Kluyveromyces lactis: one gene and its partners. The protein of the gene in region 2 interacts with the protein of the main gene of each other region in a biochemical or structural test. Links are inferred from orthologs where the notes say so. Each region holds a gene or a part of one and is shown on either strand. Other genes may lie near its edges.

What was found.
Region 1: the proteins of KAP104 (region 2) and HRP1 form a complex in vitro, tested with the Saccharomyces cerevisiae proteins (2 studies listed by BioGRID). The link is inferred for Kluyveromyces lactis from reciprocal best matches to the Saccharomyces cerevisiae genes KAP104 and HRP1.
Region 3: the proteins of KAP104 (region 2) and NAB2 form a complex in vitro, tested with the Saccharomyces cerevisiae proteins (3 studies listed by BioGRID). The link is inferred for Kluyveromyces lactis from reciprocal best matches to the Saccharomyces cerevisiae genes KAP104 and NAB2.

The regions. Positions count from the first base shown.
Region 1 is NC_006039.1:1,093,275-1,096,835, reverse strand, and holds HRP1 (Hrp1p), read right to left. Parts: upstream 2,263-3,561; coding exon 550-2,262; downstream 1-549. Other genes in the region: TRM11 (tRNA (guanine-N2-)-methyltransferase), read left to right, coding at 3,272-3,561. UniProt on the Saccharomyces cerevisiae protein: RNA-binding protein, which is involved in the polyadenylation-dependent pre-mRNA 3'-end formation and cooperates with the cleavage factor CFIA complex and the cleavage and polyadenylation factor (CPF) complex.
Region 2 is NC_006039.1:390,690-395,113, reverse strand, and holds KAP104 (Kap104p), read right to left. Parts: upstream 2,947-4,424; coding exon 292-2,946; downstream 1-291. Other genes in the region: protein phosphatase regulator BUD14, read right to left, coding at 3,239-4,424. UniProt on the Saccharomyces cerevisiae protein: Functions in nuclear protein import as nuclear transport receptor. Serves as receptor for arginine/glycine-rich nuclear localization signals (rg-NLS) and PY-NLS in cargo substrates. Its predominant cargo substrate seems to be mRNA-binding proteins.
Region 3 is NC_006042.1:903,986-907,551, forward strand, and holds NAB2 (mRNA-binding protein NAB2), read right to left. Parts: upstream 2,096-3,566; coding exon 527-2,095; downstream 1-526. Other genes in the region: KLLA0_F09867g (uncharacterized protein), read right to left, coding at 2,656-3,566. UniProt on the Saccharomyces cerevisiae protein: RNA-binding protein involved in RNA processing and transcription regulation. Acts as a regulator of mRNA stability: binds the poly(A) tail of mRNAs and pre-mRNAs, preventing their degradation by the exosome.

The DNA of each region.
Region 1 (3,561 bases), about 700 kb from region 2:
CCTATGAGCATGTGTAATTGTGAATGCTAGTATATGTCAAATTGGAATTGATTTTGATATTTTTTCACTTTTGCCTATATTCAAAATCAGATTGAGAAGCAACCTAACCTGTACCAAATATACATGAATACTGACAACTGTATATACACACACTGACCATTCGGTGTGAGGTCCAATGTCAGGTTGAATAGTAGTTGATAAACTGTAAGTTTGATTGATATATACTGATTTACATGTTATTATATAAAATTAAGCTTTGATTAGCAATAAAAGTTGAATAAAATTGCGTTGATGCTTCGTGTTAACGTTCATGAATCAGGTAAACAGAGTATGGTAAAATATTGTGTGACATTTGCAGCAAGGAATGTGATTTGATCCGATGCTTAGGAATCATTGCTTTCATTATATTTCTATTATTACATGGTTATGAGAGGCTCAGTTAAAGAAATGGATGGATCGCAAATATAACAAGTAACACAAAGTATCCTCTTGCTCGCGGCTACATACGCAGATTTCTTTACCTTATAATAAATCTAACATACAAGCAGATTACCTGGCGTATGGGTGGTATCCACGTCTATCTCTGCTTCCACCGCCATACCCATTACCACCACGGCGGGAATCACGATCACGGCCACCACCTCCGCGATAGTTTGAAGATGGGCCACGACAGCTGTCACGGTCGCGGTTAGACGAGCCATAACTGCTACGATCAGAGTTGCGATCGTATGCTCTGTGTCCTGAACGACGAGAATCATCACGGCTTGATGAATTATCGTATCTTGAGTCATCTCCAGATTCTACTCCACTGTTACTACGGTTGCCATTATTTGAGCTCCCAATAGTAGTGACACCATTACTGTCGTCGTTGTGTTGAGGGGTGGATGAATGGCTTGGTGGAGATCCTGCACCACTTTGAGAAGGTTGTTGGCCTGCAGGAAGACCGCCCATCATACCCATCATCTGTTGCATTTGTTGCATTTGCTGTTGGAACATTTGAGTATAATCGATACCAGTTTGTTGTTGCATTTGTTGATAATACTCTTGCATCTTAGTGTAGTATTCGTTCATCGATTGAGGGTTGAAACCAGTGGCCATCATAGGATTGAAACCGCCTGCCATCATTGGATTTTGGAACATCTGATACTGTTGCATTGGGTTGCTCATATTTTGTCCCATTGGTTGAGTCATTTGAGGTTGTTTTTGCTTTTGTAATTGTCTAGGTTCAGCTCTCTTGATTTCTATTTGTTTACCCTTGAACTCAATAAATTTGTTTTGACAAACTCTGTCAACTGCATCTGGTGTATCATAAGTAATGAAACCAAAGCCTCTAGATCTACCAGTATCTTTGTCTAACATTAGTTGGGCATCAATGATGGATCCCCATTGAGAGAAAAATTCTTCAAATTCTTTTGGTCTGACGTCTGGACCAATACCACCAACGAAAATTTTACCAGTCTTATCTTGTTCTTCCCTTGGAATGGCTCTCTTTGGATCGATAACCTTACCGTCTAAGATATGTTGTGTTTTAACGACTTCATCGACACTAGAAGCGTTTTCAAATGTCAAGAACCCAAAACCTCTGGACCTACCGGTAGCAGTGTCCTTCATAATCTTAACTTCAGCGACTGCACCGTATTTGCTGAAGTAATCACGTAAACCCTCTTCGGTGGTTTCCCAATTTAGACCACCAATGAACATCTTGTTAATGTCACGAGACAAATCAGCTTTGATAGCCTTTGGTTCATGCTGAGATGCAGTTTGTTGCAATTGAGACATAGTCTGTTGCAATTGTTGCAACTGTGACATATCTGGCATACCTGGCATCTGTGGCATTTGAGGCATCTGCAGCATTTCAGGAACGGAAGCACTGTAGTTTTCCTTGTTATTGTTTTCAGCCTTGTCATTATTGGATGCAAGATTAGAATCTGGTTGATTATTTGAAGAGGCAACCTGCTGTTGCAGTTGTGACAGGTTAGATGACAAAGCCTGTAAAGCTGCTAGTTGATCTAATTGAGATGTTGCCGCGGTGGTGTTTGTGCTACTACTATTAGCCTCTTTATTGGTAGTTGAAGCTTGATCTTTGTGATCATCTGTCGAGCTATTACTAACGTTATTTTGATTATTATTACTTTGAGTATTATTTTGATTATCTGTAGATGTTGCAGTTGATGAAGTCGACTCGTTATTGTTCACCGTGGTTTGAGCGGTATTTTCATCACCGTAGATGTCGTTAAAATCTTCATCGTCTGATAAACTCATCTTGAATGCAATATTTCAATTTCTTCTTATTCGTCTACTTGTTGCACCGTTCACTTTACCACTTGGATTTTCTTAGTTCTGTACACTAAATATGATAAATCTGCAGTAAACGTTTGTAAATATAAGTACGATAACGCTGTGTAAGTTTCCTGCGCCGTTCCTCTTCCGCTCTACTTAAATGATCCTTGTTCTTTTTGTCTGTATGGGGATTTTATAGCTTAAACACAGCAACACACAGCAAAGTTTAATGTTATACGTTAAAAGTAGTAGTAGACGATAATAAAGTAATAACTGAGATCTAATACAGTACGAAAATAAAACAAATATGAGCTATTTCCGGTAACAATGGTTCCTCTCTCCTAGTTTGCAATTTCTAAAACTCTATTGAAAACAATCGGTATCTTATAAATGAAAAGAAAAAGAAAAAATACAGTGTAAATATTCTTTGTTCCGTTGATTATTTCGATTCGCTAATGATATACGGGTACTTCTATACTTTTGAATCCTATATCCTTCCCTAACTCGTTTTAGTGACTTGATTATCTCTTTAGACTGTCTAATCACCTGGAAAGTGGTAAACAAACAGGAAGAAACATTCTGCCCCTTCAATTTTTCTCCTGTACTGCTTTTATATTCAAATTAATTTTTTTTTTTTTCCAATGGCAACAACTTGGCCCCAAAAATTATTCGCTGTTCTTAGTGAAAAATTCATGCTTTAGGGCCTTTTTGGTTGTCATTTTGTCGATTTCGCCTTGCAAAAAAAGAAACTTTTTGACAACTCGTCCCAAAACTGCGCCCAAACAATCAGAAACACCGGGTAATGAAATCCTATATACCTTTCTTTACTCATTCAACGCCGACTTCAGCTAAACATGCAGAGAAAGCGAAATATCGAGATGAGCTGCGATGAGATGAGATCCTCTTTAATCGAAAGTGCGACTTCTCAGTTAATCACTTTTCGTACTTCCGGATTTAGAATTAATACAAACGCCAGTTATAACCATCATCTATGGCTAGGAAGCGGTATCTTTTGTTTATGGTGCAGGTGCACTTAAATTTCCGTCTAGCAGAATTGGAATCACTAGCGGATCTGCATGGAGTTGATGTCGACTTTTCGAGTTATTCTGTCGATTCACCATTCATGATAGTTACCTTGGAAAATGATAAGCAAGCCAGTGATTGGATTAGGAGATCGGTGCTTACAAGAGCCATTTATGAGTACTGGGGTGAAGGTAATACTTATGAGTCGTTGCACAAGAGTGTCCAAGCTCATCCCGAGTTTGAACAGTATAAGAGCGC
Region 2 (4,424 bases):
CGAGATTACGGGCCTTATCAGCTCGGAATTTTTCGATTTTTCTTTTTTTTATCAGTACGATCCAGTCATCTCGAAGGTATTCTTTCGGAGAAAACCGAAAACGCTCTTGCCTAGGACTGCATCACGTGATTGCAACGGCTGGACAGTTGTGATTTACTACGACTCTTTGCCTCAGGAGAAGAGGGGAAGGGTATGGTTATCGAAATTATTTGCCTACACATACGAGCGTCGTAACCTATTCGTTATGTAACTGGTTAACAATGACGGTTATACATCATGCTTTTCTTCTGTTCAAAACATTCCGGAGTTCATTAACAATTGTTGCCAAGGATCTGGTAGCCTCATTGCCAAAGCGTAGAGGTCCTCTGATATAATGGAAATGTCGACATCTTGTTGCAATCCTCTGAAAAAGAGCTCCCAGGTTTTGTCGGAAGGCATGCCTTGGGCATTGAAATCCATTAAGTTCATTATTTTAATGAAACCGGTGTAAGAGACGGTTTTCTCTTCTGGATCTGTGAGTTCACTGGCTATAGAGCACCATTTGTGCCATTGGGTTTCGCCTGCAAAAGGTGGTTGTGTGAAGATTTCTGGATGGAAATGAGCTAGTCTAGCAATGGTGATGCACAAATTTTCCATTATGCTTGTTGGTAAAACCAACTGAGTAGAACAGAAGAGGTCCAGCACTATCCTACTTATTTCAATGATACAAGGGCCCAGATCTATCTTATGTGCCATGAGACCTAGGCACCAGATAGCATTATTGACAGTAGATACAGCTTCATGGTTTTCTCCGTTTTGAATCAATTCGTTTCCGATTGTTTCCACCATTCGCTTTGAGAAGTCGCTTGTAAATAATTGCCTCTCGTAGTAATATGCTATATCTCCCAGTAGCGCGTATGCACTTTGTCTTACCTCATGGCTGTGATCTTGTAAACATTGCAAGATGACGGAAAACATGTTGGTATCATGATTTGGGAATAAAAGGGCCTTGGAATCGTAACCTAACCCCTGGACTAACCCGTCAATTAAATCAAGTGAAGTTATGATGAAATCTTTTTCAGGAACCACTATCGTTGGATCAACTTGTGATTTGGCTTCTAAATCAACACATCTGCAGAGAATATTCCAAGCTCTATTGTAAACTTCCATAGCCATCGGAGCGAACCTGGGGCCTAAAGATGTTGATACATACGATAAACACTCCAGGAGTGGCCAGAGTTCTTTGTCATTGTCGTCCAAAGCAGACCATTTGTTCAATAAATGGGGAAGTAACTTCGTAATAGCTTGTTCATCAAGATCACACTTCTCGCTCAACCTACTGACCGCATCATACAAAATGATTAAGTTTTTCTTTTGATAGAATCTGAAACATTCGTCGAATCTGTCTAATAGTGGCTCATATAGGACTGTACCAACTATATCAGGATCACTATTCTCGATAAAAGTGGCAATTGCCGTAATGGCTGCCTCTTGGACACCTTTCTTTTTGTCCAGTAAAGTTTCCATGATAGGATTTAGTACCGGCATTAAAAATTCGGTACGATCATCCAAGATCCAAATGGAGAATCTGCTTAGAGTCCAGCAGGTCATTCTTCTAACTGGGAACCATGGACTTTTCAATTGCTCGACCAAAAATGGTATCAACGCTGGCAATTGACCATCGAAGTATTTCATGCCACCTTCAGCCATAGCACCAAGAGATAGTGTTGTTGCCTCTCTAATGTACCAACTATCCGAAGTCAAATGTTCTCTAAGTAGTGGAAGTGCTGTTTCTATGACTTCCTTCGGAAATATGCCGGTAAGTATATCGAGTACTGATGCTGCACATTTTCTTAAGTTCCATTCATGATCAAAGTTTTCGTCATCATCAGAGTCTTCGTCATTATCATCGTCATTTTTCTTTTGTATTTTTGCTGAAACTGGTTTGATATCTTCATCTTTGTCTTCAGAGTCTGCATCATCCCCGTTGGAAGCTTCCATAACAACAATTTCTTCCTGGCTATAAACCATGTTTGTCAAAAGAAGTGGAACAAGTTCTTGCACATAAGGTTGTATCAGATGATCTGGTACGTTTGTATTCGACACCAACGCAAGTATAAACTCACATGCTCCCAATGCAACTTTCTCCTCTTCACTATCGTTTCTATCAGTGTTAACAATCAAATGTCCCATGAATTGTATGATGCCCTGTAGATGTGTCATGAGTTTGTCTGGTCTGAACTCTAAGTTCAGGGTCAAACACTGGCAAATTTGTTGTTTGACTAAATATGAAGATTCGCTAGATGCTAACGAGAAGATGTTTGTCAATAAAGTATCTAAATTAACGGATAATTCTTGGCACTGTAACGGGATAATATTGTTCAAACAGTTGATGCTCTCAGATCTGACTACTGGTGTCTTACCTTCTACCATCAAAGTCAAAAACAACGATACCAATTCTCCAATCGGCACCTGATTGTTCGACCATTGTAACTGGAAAAACTGTGCACCATCCTCCATCATTTTGGATAAGGCCTTCAAAGAACCCTCGTTATTGTCTCTCGCGAGCTCAATTAATTGTGCAAGTGTGATTAACCCTTGAGGATCTTCTCTATGCTGTCTATAATAAGTAGAATACAAGGCTGCAATTACAATACCAGTAATCTTGACAATAAATTTGTTATTCAAACACAACCCGCGTACAATTTCTGATTTGACATACCCTAGGTCAACGATGTTGCCTCCCAATATGCAATTCTTCAAAAGAATACCTGCAGTACCTCTTAACTGATCCATTTCCTCAAGATGAAGTAAAATGTAACATAAATAATTGGCAAACTGTGGTTCTAATTTGAATGTTTCCAATGCATCGAGTGCTTGCTGTCTCTCATCAGAATTAGTTGAAACAGCATGTTGTAATGTCAAACAAAGTTGAGTTAGTCCTTCGTTATCTGGTGACCATGGCATACTGGGATTCAAGGTTGTTTATGGAGTCTCCACGGTACTGACCACTTCCTTATCAGCAATATCCGTGCTTCCTCCTGCTCAAATGTTTTTAGTGAATTTGATATCTCTGCGATGAGCTAACAAACCAAAAAAAAATTTTAAAGTCTAATGCAGTACTGCGGTCACGTGTGTTATTCTTTCGGTACTGAAACAGGAGATGAGCACAGACAGATTACTGAAGCAATAGTGATTGCTGTTGTTGGGTTATGTCTCTATAAAAGTTAGCTACATAATGCGTTGAATGGAGGTAATATCAGTTTGAGATGGCGTTTTCTATCTTGTCCATCATAACATCTATTTTGCTGAAAATAGGGTTGTACAAGGAGTTAATCACTGGATGATAATCCCCTACTACACCAGTGCTTGTATGCAATGCTACTTCAGAAATTAATGGAGAGTTGTGTTCATGGTCCATGCAACTTGAGGCTATAGAGGATGGAACGGTGCTGTAAGCGTTTGTATTTTCATCTGGTAAGATACTATTTTCTTCATCAATATCAATAGTTTTTTCTGTCCCGACAGAACTGTTGATATCTACAGCATTCAGTGTAGATATCGAATGCTGGTGATTATGAGTTACTTTTGGCAATGATTCACTATGTTGCAGAGAATCTTCATCATGAAGAGAGTTCAAATCAGGCGCATCTTGCGAGCTTACAATTTTCGATATATCTTGAATAGCTCTGGAAGATGGGATTTGATCATTCAAATTAGACTTCTCGAATTCCTTTTCACTTAGCAACTGAGGTGAATCATTTGTCCAGTCTGAAGAGGAAGGCGAGTATTCTCCGATTGTAGATATGGAACAATTTGAATTTGAATTTGTCATTTGGGAAGTACCTCTTGGTGCTGCTACTGGCATAGTGGGAGCTTGAAAGACTTGTTTTAGATCATTTTGTTTCTCTGACAACAGATCCGTCAAGGCAGGTTTTGAAGGTCTATTTTTTTGCACCATTAATGGTGCCATTTCATGGACATTGAAGGCAGCATCACTTACAACTTCGCTTACATCATCTGACAAATGATCATTCAGAAGGGTTTCATGTATTTCATCGACATGTGTTAAGTGAGTTCCAAGATCTGTTCCCAGGTGTAGATGCCCGTCTTGCCCGTCTCTTGATTCCACATCATGAACGTATTCTCCTGCACCATTCAGTTCTCCGCTGTCGTCCTCCAATGGTTCTTGCTCTATTTCATCAATATATCTTTCAGCATAACTGACAACATTATTGAAGCTAACCGATTTATTAGTTTTTGAGTATGCGTTCAACGGGGACTCAACTGCCTCAATACTATCTTCTTTGTTCAAAATATTCGATTCTTTGCTTGAATTTGAATCCTCTTTATGAGAAATTGAATGTGATGATATATTTTCGTTTTTCCAACAGTTCAGTCTAGCTAACCTTTCAGGAAACGTTTCAAGAAGTTCTGCAGGCGCG
Region 3 (3,566 bases), on a different chromosome or scaffold from region 2:
GTCAGTATGTTTTCTCTGAAACAATAATATATTGTTGACATTTTACCAATTGTTCCTCTTCTCTTCACAAGCTACATATCATATATATTCACACTCATTATAATTGACCTTAACCCTTTAGGATCGATCATAATAAATGATCAATATACGTGACAAACTAACTAAGGGAAACTATATGACTGTCCTATACACTTCGTAGCAAGAAAAACCAGAGAAAAAGACATATGGTAAAAAAAAGAGATAGTGATAAAATCAAGGTAAAAGGGATTTCTCTTATATGACCATTAGAGTACAGGTCAAGATACGCCAATCATATTAATAGGCTTCTGGAATTTAAACACTGCCAGTCTCTTTTTTACAGTAGTCTTTCTTCCGGTTGACCTTTTTTTTTTATTACTTTACAGTATTTTTTTACCTTTTAAGACTTTTTTTTTTTTTAATAATTAATAGATATAACACTATAATAATAATTCAAATAAAACAGTTAAGGATATCACCATTAAATAGAGCGGAGTAGATTGGAATGTTAACTCATCATCATAGCATCGCCATCTACTTCTTGTCCAGCATGAACTGACTGTACGTTAGATTCTGGTACAGCAAATGGTCTCTCGTTACTCGAGGAATTTCCACTTCCAATCAGCTGCGGATTGAACCAAATACCGTTGGTGTTTTCTGTATCAGGCTTTTTTGGCTTTTCAGGCAATACCCTTTCTGGAGGATGCTGGAATAAACATCCGTATGTTCTACATTCAGCCCCGTACCTACAAGGTTCATTGATAGGGTGACCGAAGAGGCAGTCTATTCTTGTACATTGCGCACCCTCGCGGCACATGATTGACGACCTTGCGTGTCTCTTTGGACAATTTTTATTGGTACATTTTGGACCAAACTTACATTGTTCCAAAATCTTTTCTTCCAATGGGACAACCGATCTTGGCGCGAATTTTGGATTAGAAGGTTTAGAAATGACCGGTTTTGGTGCTGGCTTGTGTATGATTGGTTTTATTTCCTTAATCTTGGATAAGGAACTGTGAGCCTTGTTACAGGTCGGATCAGTGCATTGCAAGTTGTTCTCGCACCAACTGAATTGGGTAACCTTTGCGTCTTCATTTGCAGGAGTTGGATGACCAAATGGACATTTTTGATTAGAACAAATGATCCCAAATTTACATACAACAATACCACTGATCCTTTGCTGTTGTTTCTTTTCCATCTCTTCCCTCTTTATCCTGCGTTCTTCTCTTACACGCTCTAGTTCTTGTATTAATTGTCCATCTTCATTTGGATGTAAATAAGTGCATGTACCTGGTGGATTTTTACAGTTTGGATAACTTGGACACGTAACGGTTGGATGTCCACGAGGGCACTTCCTTCCTAGAGAACAGTGAGGGAAATCAGGACAACGGCCTTCTCTCTTGATGACAACATGGCCAGATGTTTCATTTGCGCCTTCCGATTCATTTATTCCAAGAGCCATCGCCAGTTGGTTAGCACCGTATCTCGAGTTAACTCCACGTCTATTGGTAACACCAGCACTCTTTGAAATTCCACCTCTAATGGAGCTGAAACCACCACGTCTAGAAGTCCCATTATGGGCCGATGAATCTTTGTTACGTTGCGAAGACCTCCCTTCGTTAGCCGTATTATATTTAGATGCAGACACATCTACTACCCCGCTAAATGCAGAAACCGGTGCACTTGGAGCTGGAGCAGAAACGGGTGGTGACTGTACTGGTACTCCTACAGATGTTTCGGTTCCAGTTGACACAGGTGCAGAAGGTGCACTTGAAGAAGGTTGAGATGAATTACCACTCAACTTTGCATAAACGGTGTTCAAGTCATCGCCTGCTTTCAACAGATCTGCAGATGTAAATGCAATGGAGACAACACTCTGGAACTCTTGCGTACTAATACCATCAAACAAACTTGTCAATTCTTGTACGATATCAGGACCGCTGGAACCGTTGGACATTAAAAGTGTAATATACTCAGCGACTTGGTTAACATCTTCGTTGAAATTAGGAACAACCTTTAATCTCTCGGAGATGACAGTCTTTAAATTGCTGGCAATATATTCAGGTACAGTTGACATGTTGCTACTCTTGGTTTGTGTCCTCTTTAGTTTGATCAAGCAACAAAACTAGCTTTTATCCTTGTTCAAATAACTGCTAAAGAATCATTCAGATTATTCGTAATTAATTTCGTTTTAAGTATATGTAATCTTGTTCTTCCTTTTCTTGTACCAGCCCGAAACAATTTTTTTTTTGGCTCTGTATACGGAATATCGTAGAATATTACGCAGAAGGTTGAGTGGAGAAAAAGAAATCAGAACGATGTCCTCTGCTATCCGAGCTATCACGTGATTCGTTGTTAACTCCTGTATTATATGTTAGTTGCTATATGATAGTGACAGTGAATAGACCCTGTTCCAGTTTTAGGTAGAGACCTGGATCAGTGGTTGATGAGCATTAGAAATCTTTCTCATATTTATAAAACTGCTAGTAGCTTTCTCTAGGGAAGTATTCATTATTTAGAGGAGTTAATTATTGGGTTTCCATGTGGAAATGCAGAATGATTCTATGCTATAATTTATTTATTCGTGATGAGATGCAATGCATATAACAAATTCCGTCGAAATTTCTTACTTCATATCTATTCTTTAGAAAGGTATTCTTTAGAAGTGTCTCGTAGTTTTGTCTTCTTGTCTTTCATGTAATTTATTACATTGTTAAATGTTATGGTCGTAATGCTTTTAATAAGTTCCTCGTATTCCTCGTTGATCTTGGTAACTGCTTCCGACTTTTCCTGCAATTCTATCTGGAATTGTTCATAAGTGAAAGGTTGCAACGATCGTTGGTATAAATTCGGATGGCGTTCACAAAGGTCGGCAAATAGATGAAGAGACTGCAAAAGAAGACTTGCTAATGTGAGGTGTAGAGAGTAATCCCCAAGACTTCTCTTATTAGATACCGACAGGTTGTACATTTCCGGATAAATAGTTATCACTTCGTTAATAATATCGATAGCATACGCTGAAAGGATATTGAGTCTTATGGCTAATCCATCCAAAGTTTCATCCCTAAGTGCTTCCTTTATCTTCTCTACTCCCTCAGTTAAATCACCTGCAAGAATTTGGTATGCAGAGAGTACAATAGGAAGTATTTGCACTTCTAACTCTTTAGCCCATCTGTTTATATTTCTTCTTGTAGCCAAAAGATCATCGGATGCCTTGGAAAACAATTCGTCATCATGCTCAAGACGTCTTCTTTCTGAGTCTATTCGCATGAAGGCGAATATAAATTCGCTGCTGATTTGCTCCGCAAAAGTAATTTCTCGCGACATAAAATGTGCAAATCCTAAATAAAACTTTCCAAGATCTATTACATCGTTCTTCCCATCATACATCACCAAAAAAGGATACTTCTTCCTCAATAATTCTGTTAGTTTCTCGCTATCCAGATGGTTAGCAGAACTTAAGTTGTTCCCACTCATTATTTTGGTACAAATAAACCAGTGAACCACCCCGATGTGATTATAGGCTTTGATGTTGATATACACCCAAT